Ovis aries: one gene and its partners. The protein of the gene in region 3 purifies or fractionates together with the protein of the main gene of each other region. This does not show direct contact. Links are inferred from orthologs where the notes say so. Each region holds a gene or a part of one and is shown on either strand. Other genes may lie near its edges.

Region 1 (5,275 bases), on a different chromosome or scaffold from region 3:
TTCCACCTCTTCTTGGAAGCCCACAGCTCCTGAGCCTCCTCTGTTGTTGGTTCTGTCCCAAGGGTCCTTCTCTAGACCTAACCTGGCCCCGCTCTCTGCTGAGTTTGACTGCCATGGAGGTTATTATTTCAGAGTGATGTGGAGGGACTGGGAAGAGTCACGGCAGATGGTGGGAGCATTACTAGAGGGCCGGGCCCACCAGCACCTTGTGGACTTTGACTGCCACCTTGATGACATCCGAGAGGATTGGACCAACCAGCAGCTCAACGCCCAGATCACCCAGTGGGTTGGTCCCACAAATGGAAATACCTGAGCCAGGGCCAGAGGGGAGGCTCAGGATCCAATAAAGAGACTTGGGCTGTTGGGCAATGGTATGACTATGTTTATTGTGCCTGGGAGGCAAAGGTGAGGGAGAAACCAACAGGCAGAAGGTGGGGAAAGTCTGGAGTCCCCTGTAAAAGTCAGAAGGTCTCTGCTGGAGCCATCACAGAATGAGAAGAGGGTCTCAATAGATCATTCCCTTTGTTTCTCCCCTGGGCTTCTTGAGCTTCTCGAAGTTCTTCAGGATGATGTCATATAACACAGCCTATGGGGCCAGGGAGGAGAGAGTCAGCCACCAGCTCCCAGTGGCTCTGTACCCCATTTCTAGCCTTGTGGAGAGGTTGCACTTTGTAACCCTTCACCCCAGCCTGCAGGGTCAGGGAGTGGGTGGCTTGGGAAAGCTGCCTCAGCCCGCCCCCAACTCTCGCCTCCTCACATAAGCATTGCGGATCTCCATGACCATCAGCCGGATATCCCGGTACTCTGCCTCATCCAGCTCGTGCACCAGTTGCCGATAATCACCCTGCGGGAAACTTGGATCAGGCCTGACTTCAAGTGTCCCTCCTCCCTTGCACCCAGACTGAGACCTCACCTACCACATGGGGCTGCTTGGCTGCTTTAGTTACAGCATCACCGCGCTCAGAGAAATACCTGTGGGAAGTAGAAGGGTATGGAGCAGGAGGAGGAGGGAGCAGAGGCCTCAGTCTCTGCCAGAGGCAGAGCAATGGGCAATGACTCACTTGGAAATTTGAGTGTGGAAGCCTTCTAGCTTGGTGTGAAGGGCAGTCATCAGCTCAAACACCTTCTCCTGGGGAAAGAAAGCAGAAGGGAAAGTGGAAAGCAGCAAGGACTGGAGAGAGAAAGTTGGCAGAGGAGTGGGGCAGTGCTCTCACCTGGACAGCCACTCCAAAATTATTCCCATCCTCAATCCGAGGTATTTGTAGCTGTAGCCAGGTGGTGACCTGGGAGGAGGGAATGGCAAAGAAGCCCCATCAGTCTCAAACCCAATTCCCAGCTTCCTGTCCTTTGTTTCCTTGCTCACAGTGAATGGGAGTGTGTCAGGTCTGTCCTGAATGCCATGGCCTGGAATTCTGGCTTTACTTGCTGTGCCCTCTCCTGCTAAGACCTGGCAGGTGCCATGCCCAACTGGTAGGGAGAAAGGAAGACAAAGGGTTTGACCTGAAGTGTGTGGACGGAAGTGGGGGGCTCACCAGGTTGAGCTTCTCAATGACATCCTTGATCTCAGGCTTTACACGCTGCAGGAGGACCACAATCTTCTCATTGCAGCTCACTGGGCCACATGGAGGACCTAGGAGGTGGGCACTGGGTCAGTCACATGACTGGGACTGTGCCAGGTAAGGAAAAGGCATCCTTAGGGAGGAGCTCCTGGGAAGTGAGACACAAGTCCCTTCCACCATAGTGATACCTTTGTCTTCATCTTCCCCTTTCTTCTTTTCATCCTTGTCTTCCTTCTGCAGGGAAAGGGAGGCTCTTGGGAGTCAGGCCTGAGGCTGATTTTTCCCCGGGTTGGGTCCCTCCTCCCAGGAATTCCCATCTTGCCTCCTGCTGTTTCCTCCGCTCCTCCTTCTCTTTCTCCTTGACTGGATCAGGCACTGGGATGTCCAATGGGGCCTTCAGATTGCTCAGGTTGGCTTCATTGAGAGCTGGCTCCTGGTGCAGGGTGGGAGAAGGGCTGGAGGCAGGGGCGAGCTCTCACCTCCTCACTCTCACAGCCCCTGAAGCTCTCCCTTTGGCCTCTACTCCCTGCCCAGCCCCAGTACCTTTAAAAATGCATCCAACTCAGAAATCTTCCTGGGAAAATAGCTCCCGAGCAGGTTCTCTGTCTGTGTGTAGGGTAACGGTAAGGGAGGATGGGGGTCAGAATCAAATTCCCTTCCTAAGCAGTGAAGGAAGGGCTGCCGCTGCCTAGCAAAGGAGGGCTGAGCAGTGGGCTTGGGGAGGGGTGGGGTGATGACCGTGCAGGTCTTACCTTAGTACATAGGTCTTCACGGAACACATCCACCTGTGGGACACAAGCAGCCCTTCAGAATTTGGCTTTATGGCCAGTTTATTCGAGAACCCTTAGGGTTGCATGGGGTCTGACTTGGGTGCGGTGGGATTTGGGGAATAACATTCCTGGAAGTGAAGGGCGAACTGTTCAAGAGGGAACAGATCCCTCGGTGGGCAGTGGGAGGAGGGATGTAAGAGAGCTGCTGCGACTGGGGCAGGGTCGGAGTGCCCTGTGGAATGGACGCGGGGCCTCCCATGGTGGCAGGGCAGAGCCCGAACCCCGTCTGTGTGTGGGCTCGGGCGCCGGGCCAGCAGATTTCCCCTTCACGCCAGGGCTCCGCTTCACCTCACCCCGCTGAACCTCGGCCGCCTCGCCTCTCCTCCCGCAGGCAGACCTGGCGGGGCTCTCCGGGCTCAGGTGCTCTGGGCACGGGGCCCATGAGTGTTCGGATGACTGACCCCTACTCGAGGGGCTGAGGGGCGGGTCACGGACTCCTTCAGTGTCTCGGAGGCACCCCTCCCTGATGGGCCCTTCCTAGAACCCGCAGCGCTCACCTTGGCTTGGGCTTCGGGCAGGACCCTGAGCGTGGCCATGGCCGGGGTAGGGGCCTGGCGAAGCACGCGGAGCGAGGAGTGGGCACGGGGAAGGGAAAGTGAAAGCAGCGCTCGCTCCCCGCACGGCCTTCCTGGGTAGTGGGAGTGGAGGTACTAGAGGAGGCGGGGACAGACCAGAGAGAGGCGAGGAGCTGAGTGCCGGGAGGTAGCCCAGCCGGGGCTCCCCCTAGAGTCGGAGAGGCGCCTTTCCGCCACCCCGCATCCCCATCACTGTCGGTCTTTCGATTCCCCGCCCACCTGCCCCACCCTCCCATCGACGCCCCGCCTCCCCGGCCACGAGGCCGGGGCCCGCCTCAGGATTCCCCGCCCCTCCCGCCCCCTGCCCCAGACCTCGGGCTCTCTTCCCAGCGCCGCCTGGGACAGTGATTAGCCTTATCTGCCTCTCTTCTGGGTGGTGAAGCAAGACTTGGCTTCCCTTCCTTTGCCCTGCCAGCGTGGACCCCTAGCTCCACGGGCATCGTCTGGCCCACGCAGTGACGTTCAGACTCTGGCATCATCCCATCACAGGACCTGGTCAGCTCTCTTAAGACCCTTGTGGACTCCATTCCTCTGTAACCCACTCACCACGCAGCAGCAGGATTCCACCTTGCTCTTGCTTAAAACGTTCTCAACTTCCTGTTGACCTTAGAATCCAAAGGACTTTCCTGGTCCAAAAGGCCTATCTGGCACCTGTTCCCCTTCAACTTTGCTTTCCACTGTTTTCTCCCTCTTTTCAGTTATAAATACCTGGACTTTCCAGTTGTTTCTCAGACCTGCCAGCGTTGTTCATTCCTGCCTCAAGGCCTTTGCTCTTGCTAATCCCTTTGCCTGACACAACCTACCCTGCCTCAGGATGTCATTCTGTTCTCAGCTTAGATATCACTTCTTCAGAAAGAACTCTGCTTATAACTCCCTCCAAGTCTATTAGAAAGCAGCCTGTTTTAGTACCTTCACAGCACTATCTCTATGAAGTTAGTTTCTTTTTTGAGGATAGTGTGGTTTAGAGCAGGAGTTGGCAAACTTTTTCTGTCAAAGACCATATAGTAAATATTTTAGGCTTTGTAGTACCTGCAGCAACTACTCAACTCTGCCATTGTAGCAGGAAACCAGCTATACAGTTAAATAAATGAGTGTGGCTAGTTACCCTAAAATTTTATTTATGGACTGCTGCTGCTAAGTTGCTTCAGTGGTGTCCGACTCTGTACGACCCCATAGACGGCAGCCCACCAGGCTCCCCCATCCCTGGGATTCTCCAGGCAAGAACACGGGAGTGGGTTGCCATTTCCTTCTCCAATGCATGAAAGTGAGAAGTGAAAGTGAAGTCATTCAGTCGTGTCTGACTCTTAGCGACTCCATGGACTGCAGCCTACCAGGCTTCTCCATCCATGGGATTTTCCAGGCAAGAGCACTGGAGTGGGGCGCCATATGGACAGTGGCATTTCAGTTTCATGTAATTTTCACCTGTTATGAAATATTCTTTTTTTTCAACCATTAAAAAATGTAAAATCATTTCTTAGCTCTCAGGCCATATAAACAGTGGCCACAGGACTGTTGCTTGCTGATCTCTGTTTTAGAGCACAAACAACAGATCCATACTGCCTGGGTTAATAATTCTAGCTCCAATATTTACTAGTTGTGAAAAACTTACTTAGCTCTGCACTTCCATTTTCACAAATGTACAGTGGGAACACTCCTAACTCATGGTGTTGTTGTGAGGGCTAAATATGTGAATTTATATAAAGAATTTATAGATACGTAGAATGGTGCCTGATACAGAGTAAGCACAATAGTATTATTATTTGTAAGTTTATCATCAGGTAGTAACCCACGGGCCCCCAAACAGCAAAAACTTTGTCTTTCTTATTCACATGGCAAAGAACTATGCTTGGCTCAATGAACATCTTTTAAGAAAATAAGCATGTATAGACCCTCTTTGGAAAGACAGGGTAGAAAGGGAGGCTGAGTAGGGTGCCCAGATAGAAAGGCCCCTGAGGATGGTTAGGGGGTATTCAGTGCTGGAGGCAGGAAAAACAAATCAACCAAGCTGGAGATGGAGCATCTGTTTAGTGGGAATGTTGCCCATCCCTGAGGACACTGTTACCTGCCCTGGCAGTGCCAGTCTTTGACATCAGAGCCCCAGATATCTTGATGTCTGCAGAGACCAGGAAACTGAAAGGACAATAGGAGGGACAGGGGTCAAGCATAAGGACATTCAAGGTCAGTGACAGCAAGGAATGACTGGGGAACCCTGGCGACTACTATACTCTCTTCTTACCCTACCCACCCTTTACAGGTCCTGCCAACCCAGTGATGAACAGAGCCGGAGCTAGGTCTGATGTGACTTTATTCC
Region 2 (4,508 bases), on a different chromosome or scaffold from region 3:
GGGTTTTTTCCATTTCTTCCCAGTTGAGGCTCTGTATTTTATTCTGAACACTTTTTTGCATGGAAGGGGTAAGAATGTACCTGAAGGGGGTACTGGAAAGAAACAATCATATCATTAACTAAACACTCACAAATATGAATATTAAGACAAATAAGAGTTCTTTCAACAAAAATTATCTTGTTTTCCATATATTTTGTTGCAGAAGGCAAAATGCAAGTTCTGACAGTTTATGGAAGAGTAACGTAAAGTGATTGCTCTGACTTGCTACTCACATACTTAGGAGACTGTGCTGGGGACAGGAAAACAACCAAAGGCAAGGCCAGCATGAAGACCCCACAGCCACGCCCCAACGAGGCCTCTTACAAGGGCCTCAGAAATTAACTAGTTTTGAGAGGCTACTCTTCGCAGATATTTCATGATTTTACAGGTGTGCAAATGACAATGCAATAAATAGTATGGATTTCTAACTCTTGAATACTTTATCTTCTATTTAAGAATTCAATCTGACATGCCTGGAAATTGTACTTAAAGGCAGCTGGAGTTCTGCAGATACAAATGGTTGAATACATGGAAATAAATAGAAACAGTGATCCAGTCTTTGAAAGACAATCAATTGATAAACTTCAGGTACTCTTTCTCCTTTCTCTCCATCAGCTTAGCCCTGAGGTGCCGTGGGCTCATGACACACACAGCAGAGCATAGTCCCAGAGACACACAAAGCAGAGTGCAGCCCCAGAAGCACCCCATTGCTACCCTAGACCCCAGTGCTGCAGCCCTGGGAACACTAAGGGCCCCCAACGCCACTTCCCCTATCTCCCCACAATCTTCACCTCCTTCTTTCTAAATTCCAGGGAGAAAAGGAAAGGATGGCGTTAAAATTTTGTTTTAACCTTTTAGTAAAGCAATCATTCTAATAACTGTACACATCTTAACAAATATACTTGTTCAGAGACACAGACCTACCTGCGCAGCTGGAGGTCATTACGGTGATACGAGTGGCTGCTAGAAAGAACCACCACTTTGGCGCAGCCGCTGCTTTTCACCCAGGAAAGCAGTTTTTCACAGAATGACTTTGATTTATACTTTGTATACCATGGAAAGAGTACAATGAAAATACAAAGTTAGATCTCAGATTGTTAGAAGAGTAGTCTACGTAGTATTTCATCAGTCTTTGTGATGATACTATTAACAGTTTACATATGCTAAACTTATAGTTAGTTTGAGATCCACTTATTGTCCTTGCACTGAAGGTGAAAGATGAGGGACAATGACGATAAATTTCTGCCCCAAATCTGATCAGGGGCAACAGTTAGGTAAGCCAGAAGGCAGAATGCCTGTCTAGGTCCCTCAGCACAGTCAGTGTTGTGAATCACAGGAGGAAGTCAGCTCCATGCTGAATACCAGCTAAAAAGGTGTGACAGCTGAGGCAATACTCGAACTTCGCCTGGATGCAGAACTGATGGGTGTGTGGGGAGCAGCTGGGGAAGTCTGAGTATTTGCTGATGCTCATCTCCCAGGTGTGTGGTGTACTGTAGTTGTGAAAGAGGCTCTCCTTCCTGTAGACGTGTGTTACGTGATGCTGGCACACACCTGCTTTGGACTATTTGGCAGAAGGAAACTGCACGCGCACACAGAGGATCAACCAGGTGTGGCAAGAGGTGAACAGGTGATTGACCTGGGATGTGGACCTTTCACTCTACTTTCAATGGATGAAACAAAATTTAAATAGCTCCAGGTGTCTAGTGGCTGCCAGGTCAGTGTGGACACATTCCTGCCAGACAGTGGTGAGGGCTATGAACTTGCTTGGAGACAGGAAGCTACGAGAGGATCTGACTGAGGTTTCCAGGACCTGGGGTGGAAGAGCCTGTGGGGCGGGTGGTGCAGAAGCAGAATCAGGGACATGAGAGAGGACATGGGCTGGACCAAAGTGGTGACAGCAGAAGGGGAGAGAAGCTGGATTCAAGAGTGTATTTTCAGACACACGTCATTTTAATGCAGGTGCCACAGGTTTGAAATGTAATGCAAATAGAATAAACCTGTAATATTCATATGCTTAAATTTTTTCACCCATGGTACCTGAATCGGGAATATATAGGACCCAAGCTATATGTCCCAATTCCTTTCAATATATTCAGGAAATAATAGTGACAACTCTGAAATCTTATGAGTATTTCTCTATAAACTCAGACTGCTTAACTGTATAAAGAAAGAAATGATTTTTGAATCTTAATAATGACTCAGTATTTTCTCATTATACTATACTTTAATAAACTTAAGACAAAAGCAATATACTAACCTTAATAAAAATGGATCTTAACTGAAGAGCCACTAGTTTCTTTGAAGGCAATGCATATACTGCAAGTATAAGAGAATGAAACCATATGATAGTTAAAATTAAGGAGTCATACATGAGCAATTAATAACAAAACTGAACTAGGAAAAATTCTGTATCTAAATATTTTTAAAATATATTTATTTGGCTGCATCCGGTCTTAGTTACAACACACAGGTCTAAATGCCCCGCTGCTTGTGGGATCTCAAGCTCCCCAAACAGGGATTGAAATCTGTGTTCCCTGAATTGGAAGGCGGATTCTTTACCACTGGACCACCAGCGAAGTCCCTAAAGATTTTTGCCAATTAAAACACAGAACATATGCACTACATCATTTAGCTAAAACATTTTAAAAGTACCTCAGAATTCACCCATGGGCTTTATTCTATGGAATAGATTCATTGCTGAAATTTAACTATGAGAAAATTATCAGAAATTATTTTTCTTCTTTGATTGTAAACCTAGAGGATTCCCCTGGAAATTTCTATCCTTATAACAAATGACCCCATTTTCAAGGTTTGGTTTCTGATATTGTTCCCTCTTTTCTCTAAAGAATAGTCACACTCATTGGGGTTAGAAGGAAGAGTAAAATGCAGGCGAATGTTAGCTGTGTGATAAAACACAGAAGCTATATTTATTTTCTTCAGGAGATTCAGAAAGACCTGAAGTAACACGTAAGAACTCTGTGAGTCAATATTTGTGAATTTATCCTGTGAGGAGGATCCACAGCATTCACCAGAGTCTACAAGGGGCCCACTTTACTGATGCTTAGGAGGCCCTGCCCAAGTTTACCTCCAAGAATGAGAAGCCCTGAAATGACCCGAGAACAAAATACAGAGTCTCCGAGAACATGTGATTAGGCCTCTGTGCCAGGGTTAAGCTTTCAGTCACTGTAAACATCACAGACAACCCGAGACTCAGGCACTGTGTCTGGTGGGTCATGTCTTTCCCATTCTATAGGTCTGTTGGGATCATCTCACTGCACTGGTGTGTGTGGGGTGACTGGGACCATGCAGCATCCATCAGCAAGGGTGCTGACCACCAGGCGTGTTTGGGACAAAGTAGGCTAGAGCTGGAAGCTCAGGAACCAGGGAAGTGGGCAGGCTGAGATGACGTCCATGACGCCTCACTTCTGCAGCAGCAGCAGCACTCCTGCTTTCCACCAGAGCTTCATGCACATCTTGTTTTGTTGGTAAGATCCTGTTTCCTAGCACCTTGCTCATGTGATATAACATCACCTGTCACGTATTCTGGTCAAAAATATTTAGCTTCTAAATAATCAAGGCTTTAAGACTAAGTCCAGTTTCAGAAAATACAGAGGCCAGAGGAACACAGTGGTTGGTCTGTACGCTGCGAGCCCTGACTAACCCCAACTGACAGCACAGCAGGGAACTGTGGAGATGGGTGGCGTGGGAAGGGCCTAGGCCTCCTGCAGTCAAGTGACTTGCCTCTCTGAGCCGGGTCAGTGTGCATTACGATGAATGCTACCACTGTGTGACAGATGACTTCAGCCTGCATGGGGCGCTGCACATTAAACACATAGGCCTGAGCCCAGTGTTAGCAATGCTTACACGTGCCAGGAGGACAGAAAGTAAAACTGAGGATAAGAGGGGGAAACCCCATGTTAAAAATCATTCTATCCAAGGGTACAAATACAAGCACATCTCTTGAGGGGGCTGTAATCCAGGGTGTGTGCAGGAGAGGAGGGCACCGCTGTGGATTCTAAAGAGCCACTCCAGGTACCAACGGACACCCAGGGAGAGTCTGGCTGTGACTTGACACAAATCTGCCTTGTGGAAGGATATAACACACCTTCAGCATTTATACTGAGCTCCGCTGAATTCTCTTCTGCAGTTGCATATGGATTGTTTCCAACCATTGGCACAAGACAGTCAGTATAGAAGTAACCGATCTTATGCATATTCAGTGTGGAAATAATCAGATCTATTGCAAGCTGGCCAACATTTCCAACAGATACTGCTGGCTGAAACAGTAAAAAAAAAAAAAGTTCATTAAGTTATCCAAATCAGCAGCACTTTAAGAAGTTTAGACAGAAGACGACAGTCACAGTGGACGTACTGGACGCCAATGCTCAGGTGCATCACACCTGGGTTCTGAGCTTTTCATTAGCTCCACCTGGAGACTACTGACTGCATACTTACTGAATACCTGCTAT
Region 3 (4,937 bases):
AGACACGCTCTATCCATTCTGTACAGAACAGTTTGCACCTGCTCATCCAGGACCCTGTCCTCCTCCTTTCCCCCACCCTTGCAACCCCAGGTCTGTTTTCTATGTCTGTGAGTCTGTTTCTGTTTTTGTTTGTAAAAATAAAAACTACAATGAAGTATCACCTCACACTGGTCAGAATGGCCATTATAAAGAAAAATCTACAAACAATAAATGCTGGTGAAGGTATGGAGAAAAGGGAACACTGGTACACTGTTGATGGGAATGCAAATTGGTACAGTCACTGTGGAGAACGGTATGGAGGTTCCTAACAAATCTAAACAAAGAACTACCATATCACCCGGAAATCCCACTCCTGGGCATAGATCTGGAGAAAACTATAATTCAAAAAGATATATGCACCCCAGTGTTCATTGCAGCGTTATTTACAGTAGCCAGAACACGGCAGCAACCTAAACGTCCATCAGCAGAGGAATGGATAAAGAGCATATGTACTGCCATGAACACAAGGGTGCAGGCATCTTTTTGAATTACAGTGTTGCCTGGATATACGCCCAGGAGTGGGACTGCAGGATCATACAGCGAGTTGCTAAAGTTTCTGATGTTCTTTTGACAATAGAATGGCTTCAGAGTACATGAAATTTAACGCCTGGATTAAAGCGGGAAGGAAAAAATTGTCTCAGACAAATGAAACACTGCAAGTGATGATCAAAATCGGACTTAGATTTTATAATAAAACAAAAATACTACATGAAATTAAGAATAATCTTCCCCATACTAATTTTTCTTTGTTATTAACCATCTTGAGGAAGTTATGTGTTCTCTGGCACATAAAGTAAGTAATACTGGTCTAATCCTGTATACTTTTCTTGTATGTGGGGGAAACTGGCCAAAAGGGAGAAAGACACACTTAGTTCACACAGTGGATCAGAAAGCAGGTATCTGCTCGGCAGAACCATCTTTTCTATCTCTAAACACAGGTGGAAGGAAGACCTCTGAAATCCCTGTTTCCTAAACTCTTTTCAGACCCATTTCGATGACCCCCTCTGGGACAGGCCACGTTAGCATTCAAGCCCCAGATTCTTCTCCGTGAGTTCAGAGACCCAAACCCTCACCCAATGTCTTATTATAGTGGCCTTTCTGAAAGGTTCACTCAGTTTCTCCAGAGCTTCAGTTTGCCAGTCTCTATGAATGATTAAAAATGTGCATTGGGCGCCACGGGCTTCTTTCCAAAAGTACCCAGGGTCACTGGTACTCACCCTGCAGACACCCGGGAGTCCGATCCCACCACAACGCCCCCATCAAACTCTACTGCCATGATGGTTGTCTGCGGAGACACAGAGGACAGAACGTCAGAGCAGGAAGAGCCTTGGCCCCTTCATGTTAGATAAGGAAACATTCTCAGAGAGGGGGAGGTGACTGGCTCAAGGTTATCTGGTAATTTAGGCCAGAGTTGACTCCCAGGATGGGATTTTTTTTTTTCTTTCCGTTTTCTCTATTGTCTTTCCTGGCCGCAAGGGAACATCAGAGTCTGGCCAGTGGTATCACATAGAAAGAATGGCCTCCCTAAAATTCTTTCCACTGTGAAGAGAGAGGTGGGGTGAAGGTCCCAGGGCTTAAGTGCTCCCTCTGAGTGAAGGGCTCAGGGGGGCACTTCCAGACCCTGATGGTGCAGCCCCACACATGCATGACCTCTGCGTGCGCTTGTGTGTGCACAGATGTGCTGCAGATCTTGCCACACAGCAAGTGACCGTGACCTTGGGAAACAAGCTCAAGCCTTTTTATTAGCCCAGAATCATCCACCCCACTCTCCCCTTAATCAGTTTACTGAACAAGGGAAAACATCTCAGAGGTCAGTGGTTACCATGGCCATGTGTCAAGGAAGGAGGAAAATATCAGGAAACACATGGGACATTTAAGAATTTCTGATCAAGAGGTAAAGAACAAGGGGACTTCCCTGGTGGTCCAGTGGTTAAGACTGTGCTTCCTTTGTAGGGGGCATGGGTTTGATCCCTGGTCAAGGAACCAAGATCCCACATGCCATGTGGTGTGGCTAAAAAATAAATTTTTTTTTCTTTAAAAGAGTAAATAGCCAGGGAAAGAGATCTGTAGCAAGAGAGGATTTGATTGGGGAGTTTTAGCTGACTTTTCCAGGTCAAGAAAAGAATTAAGGAAAAGTGAAGGAGAATAAAGCCACTTTTTTTTTTTTTAAACTTTAAAGATCCTGCAAAGAAAGAAACTGCATCATACAGAAGGCAAGTGACTTGCCCAGGGTCACACAGGACTAAAACCCCCATCCAGCTCCCAGGGTTTGTTCTGACTTGTACTTCTTACTGTTCGTCTGGTGGTGAGGGGAAGAGTTTCTAATTTATGAATGGCTTCACTGCTATATTCCTCAGGGCTTCATAAGTTGCTCTGGCCTCCGGGGATACTGGCCGGAGTGCTCATTTTGACACACTGATTCATCGTGAAGAGCGGACCAGAGATTAGGGGTAACCCCACCCGAGAGGTTAATCCGTTATAACAAGGCTGCCGGAAGCTGAGAGTGGTGGCGGTCGCTTGAGAGCAGAAGGCAGCCAGCCAAGGGCTGCCACCAGCCCCCCGGGGGCCCAGCCTGGGCAAAAGTCCTCCAGCAGGTTGTGGAGGTGGGTGAGGAAGACACGGGGAGGGGAGCGCGGTGCACGTGGGCCGAGTAGCTGCCTTCCTGGACCAGGCTGGGCACTGGCAGCGCCAGCTCACAGGCAACCCCCGTGAGCAGTGCCGGGGCCGTAAGTTCCCCGGCGCGAGTCCATCAAAGGTCTGTGGGGGCACGTTCCTCCCCGCACGCTCCCAAGTGCCGTCCTGTTCACTCGGGGCACCGCGTCCTCATCTCTGCGCACCTTCCCCAGCTCTCCCCCTTCATTGAAGCAGCCCCTGTCTCTAGTCCAGAGTGAAAGCGAAAGCGCTCTAAAGCAGCTTCCCCTCAACGCTTCCAGCTCGGAGCCCAAGCACCCCTTCCCCGCCGGCCCCCCGCGCCCAGTCCCTCGGCGGCCCCCCGAGCACCCCGCTTCTGTAGAGACGCCCGTGTTCCTTTTGGGATGCGCGCCCCGGCTGCTGCAAGCGGTCTCCTCCCTCTTGCGAGTCTCCGAGTTAACCCTGTGGCGCTTCCAGGGTCCGCCCGTCCCTCCGTCCCGCCACCGATGTTCCAGACTCATTACCCCGGTGTGGACTTCTCCTGCCCGGGGCAAGTCCCCGGTGGGGGCTCCGGTCCGCAGCATCCCGGCTCCGCGAGGCTCGCCGCTCCGGGCTCTGGTTTCCGACCTGGGACCGCGCGCCGCCCGCTGCCCGAGGCCCCGCCCCCGCGCCGCGCCCGCCAGGGGGCGCACGAGTCCGTGCCGCCGCGCGGGGCGGCCCGGCGCTAACTTGTGCGGGGCGGGTCTACCCGGAGACAGATGACGCAAGAGACCGGGGCCAGCGGATCTGCCCGGAGACGGATGACGCACGAGCCCCGCCTGCAGACCCGGGGCCAGAAAGTCCCGGGCAGCGCGGCTCCTGCAGGAGGCGGTGGCACGCGAGGCGGGGCTCGGGTGGCGATGGAGGAGGTCAGCCTCGGATCCGAGGTCCCTGCGCTCCTCCCAGGTGCCCTGGGCCGGCCGCCTCCGCAGGGGCCGGGCCTGGGAAGCCGGGCCGCTTTCGTTTTCTCTTTCCCCTAAACCGCCCGCTTCTGGGCAGCGCCGCGGGCTCGGCGGGCTCCCGGGACTTTCCGAGGCCCCGCCCCGGCCCCTCCCCGCGGCGGTCCGGGTTCCGGCCCGGGGCTCGGGCTCCCACAGCAGCCCGTCGCGGACAGCGAGAGCCGGGACCGCGCGCGCCCATGGCCTGCCCGGGGTCCCCAGCTCCCTGCGGCCGTCCGCGCCTCCCCCGCCTCGCCGTCGCGTGGCTGGGGACGGCGCTGCTGCTCCTCGCCGACTGGACGCTGCTCCGGCCGGCGCTGCCCCGAGTGGCCTCGCGGCTGGTGCCCCCTGCGCTGCCGCTGCTGCGGGTCTGGGTGGCGGGCTTGAGCCGCTGGGCGCTGCTGTGGCTGGGGGCCCGCGGCGTCGTCGGGGCCGCGCTGGGCTTCCGGAGGGAAGGCACGCGAGTCCTCGGGTGGCTGGCTGTTTTGGAGCCGCTGGCGGCGGCGCTGGGCTTGGCCCTGCCGGGACTCGCCTTGATCCGAGAGCTGGTCTCCTGGCGAGCCCCCGAGGACGCGGACAGCGCCGGGCCCCTGCACTGGGGAAGTCGCCTGGACGCCTTCGCTCTCAGCTACTGCGCGGCACTGCCCGCGGCCACCCTGTGGTATAAGATCAGGAGCCTCTGCGTGCAAGGAGCTCGCGGGGCTTTTGGCCTGGCGATGAGCCGGCTTTTAGTCTTCCTGGGTCCGGAGAAAAGCCACGTGCAGTTCATTTTGGCCCTGGTGTTTCTCTCCTGTCTTGGTAGGTAAGGTGGGGGCGGCGGGGGGCGTGCAACGGGAAGGGGGACGGGACTGGAGAACTGGGTAGGAATCGAGGGGCCTGATCAATGAGAGCAATTGGTGTGGGTTCTCGGAAACGTGGGTGAGGGGAAGGGGACCCAGCTCAGGTCTTGATCACCCCAGTGGAGTGGGAAGGTCCTGACTGGGCAATTGTCAGGGGTCCTGGACTCCAGGGCTGCCCTGCGTGTTGTTGCTTCACTGGCCGCCGTGGACAAGGGCTTTTCCCGGGCAGCCCATCCTACAACCGCTAGGCTTCCTCATTAAACCTCTAAAGGTCTTTGGGCCTCGTGTAGGTGGAGATGGTATCTCTCCACTGCTCTGCAGGAGAATGAATAAAGGCGAAAAGCCGGTGGGCCAGGGCCTGGTGAGAGCTCAGGAGAATGAATAAAGGTGAAAAGCCGGTGGGCCAGGGCCTGGTGAGAGCTCAGGAGAATGAATAAAGGTGAAAAGCCGG

What was found.
Region 1: the proteins of PSMB9 (region 3) and PSME1 purify together in Homo sapiens (affinity purification with mass spectrometry; 3 studies listed by BioGRID and IntAct, counting the BioPlex papers as one, with this or other methods). This does not show direct contact. The link is inferred for Ovis aries from reciprocal best matches to the Homo sapiens genes PSMB9 and PSME1.
Region 2: the proteins of PSMB9 (region 3) and PSMG2 purify together in Homo sapiens (affinity purification with mass spectrometry; 3 studies listed by BioGRID and IntAct, counting the BioPlex papers as one, with this or other methods). This does not show direct contact. The link is inferred for Ovis aries from reciprocal best matches to the Homo sapiens genes PSMB9 and PSMG2.

The regions. Positions count from the first base shown.
Region 1 is NC_056060.1:20,828,641-20,833,915, forward strand, and holds PSME1 (proteasome activator complex subunit 1), read right to left. Parts: upstream 3,042-5,275; 5' UTR 2,926-3,041; coding exon 2,887-2,925; intron 2,345-2,886; coding exon 2,312-2,344; intron 2,166-2,311; coding exon 2,103-2,165; intron 1,993-2,102; coding exon 1,882-1,992; intron 1,794-1,881; coding exon 1,748-1,793; intron 1,631-1,747; coding exon 1,533-1,630; intron 1,284-1,532; coding exon 1,215-1,283; intron 1,130-1,214; coding exon 1,062-1,129; intron 973-1,061; coding exon 918-972; intron 845-917; coding exon 758-844; intron 587-757; coding exon 506-586; 3' UTR 368-505; downstream 1-367. Other genes in the region: EMC9 (ER membrane protein complex subunit 9), read left to right, coding at 133-313. UniProt on the Homo sapiens protein: Implicated in immunoproteasome assembly and required for efficient antigen processing. The PA28 activator complex enhances the generation of class I binding peptides by altering the cleavage pattern of the proteasome.
Region 2 is NC_056076.1:43,567,078-43,571,585, reverse strand, and holds part of PSMG2 (proteasome assembly chaperone 2), read right to left. Parts: intron 4,317-4,508; coding exon 4,145-4,316; intron 2,356-4,144; coding exon 2,297-2,355; intron 1,083-2,296; coding exon 964-1,082; intron 93-963; coding exon 1-92. UniProt on the Homo sapiens protein: Chaperone protein which promotes assembly of the 20S proteasome as part of a heterodimer with PSMG1.
Region 3 is NC_056073.1:7,337,065-7,342,001, reverse strand, and holds the start of PSMB9 (proteasome subunit beta type-9), read right to left. Parts: upstream 3,300-4,937; 5' UTR 3,255-3,299; coding exon 3,195-3,254; intron 1,325-3,194; coding exon 1,257-1,324; intron 1-1,256. Other genes in the region: TAP1 (antigen peptide transporter 1), read left to right, coding at 3,848-4,445. UniProt on the Homo sapiens protein: The proteasome is a multicatalytic proteinase complex which is characterized by its ability to cleave peptides with Arg, Phe, Tyr, Leu, and Glu adjacent to the leaving group at neutral or slightly basic pH.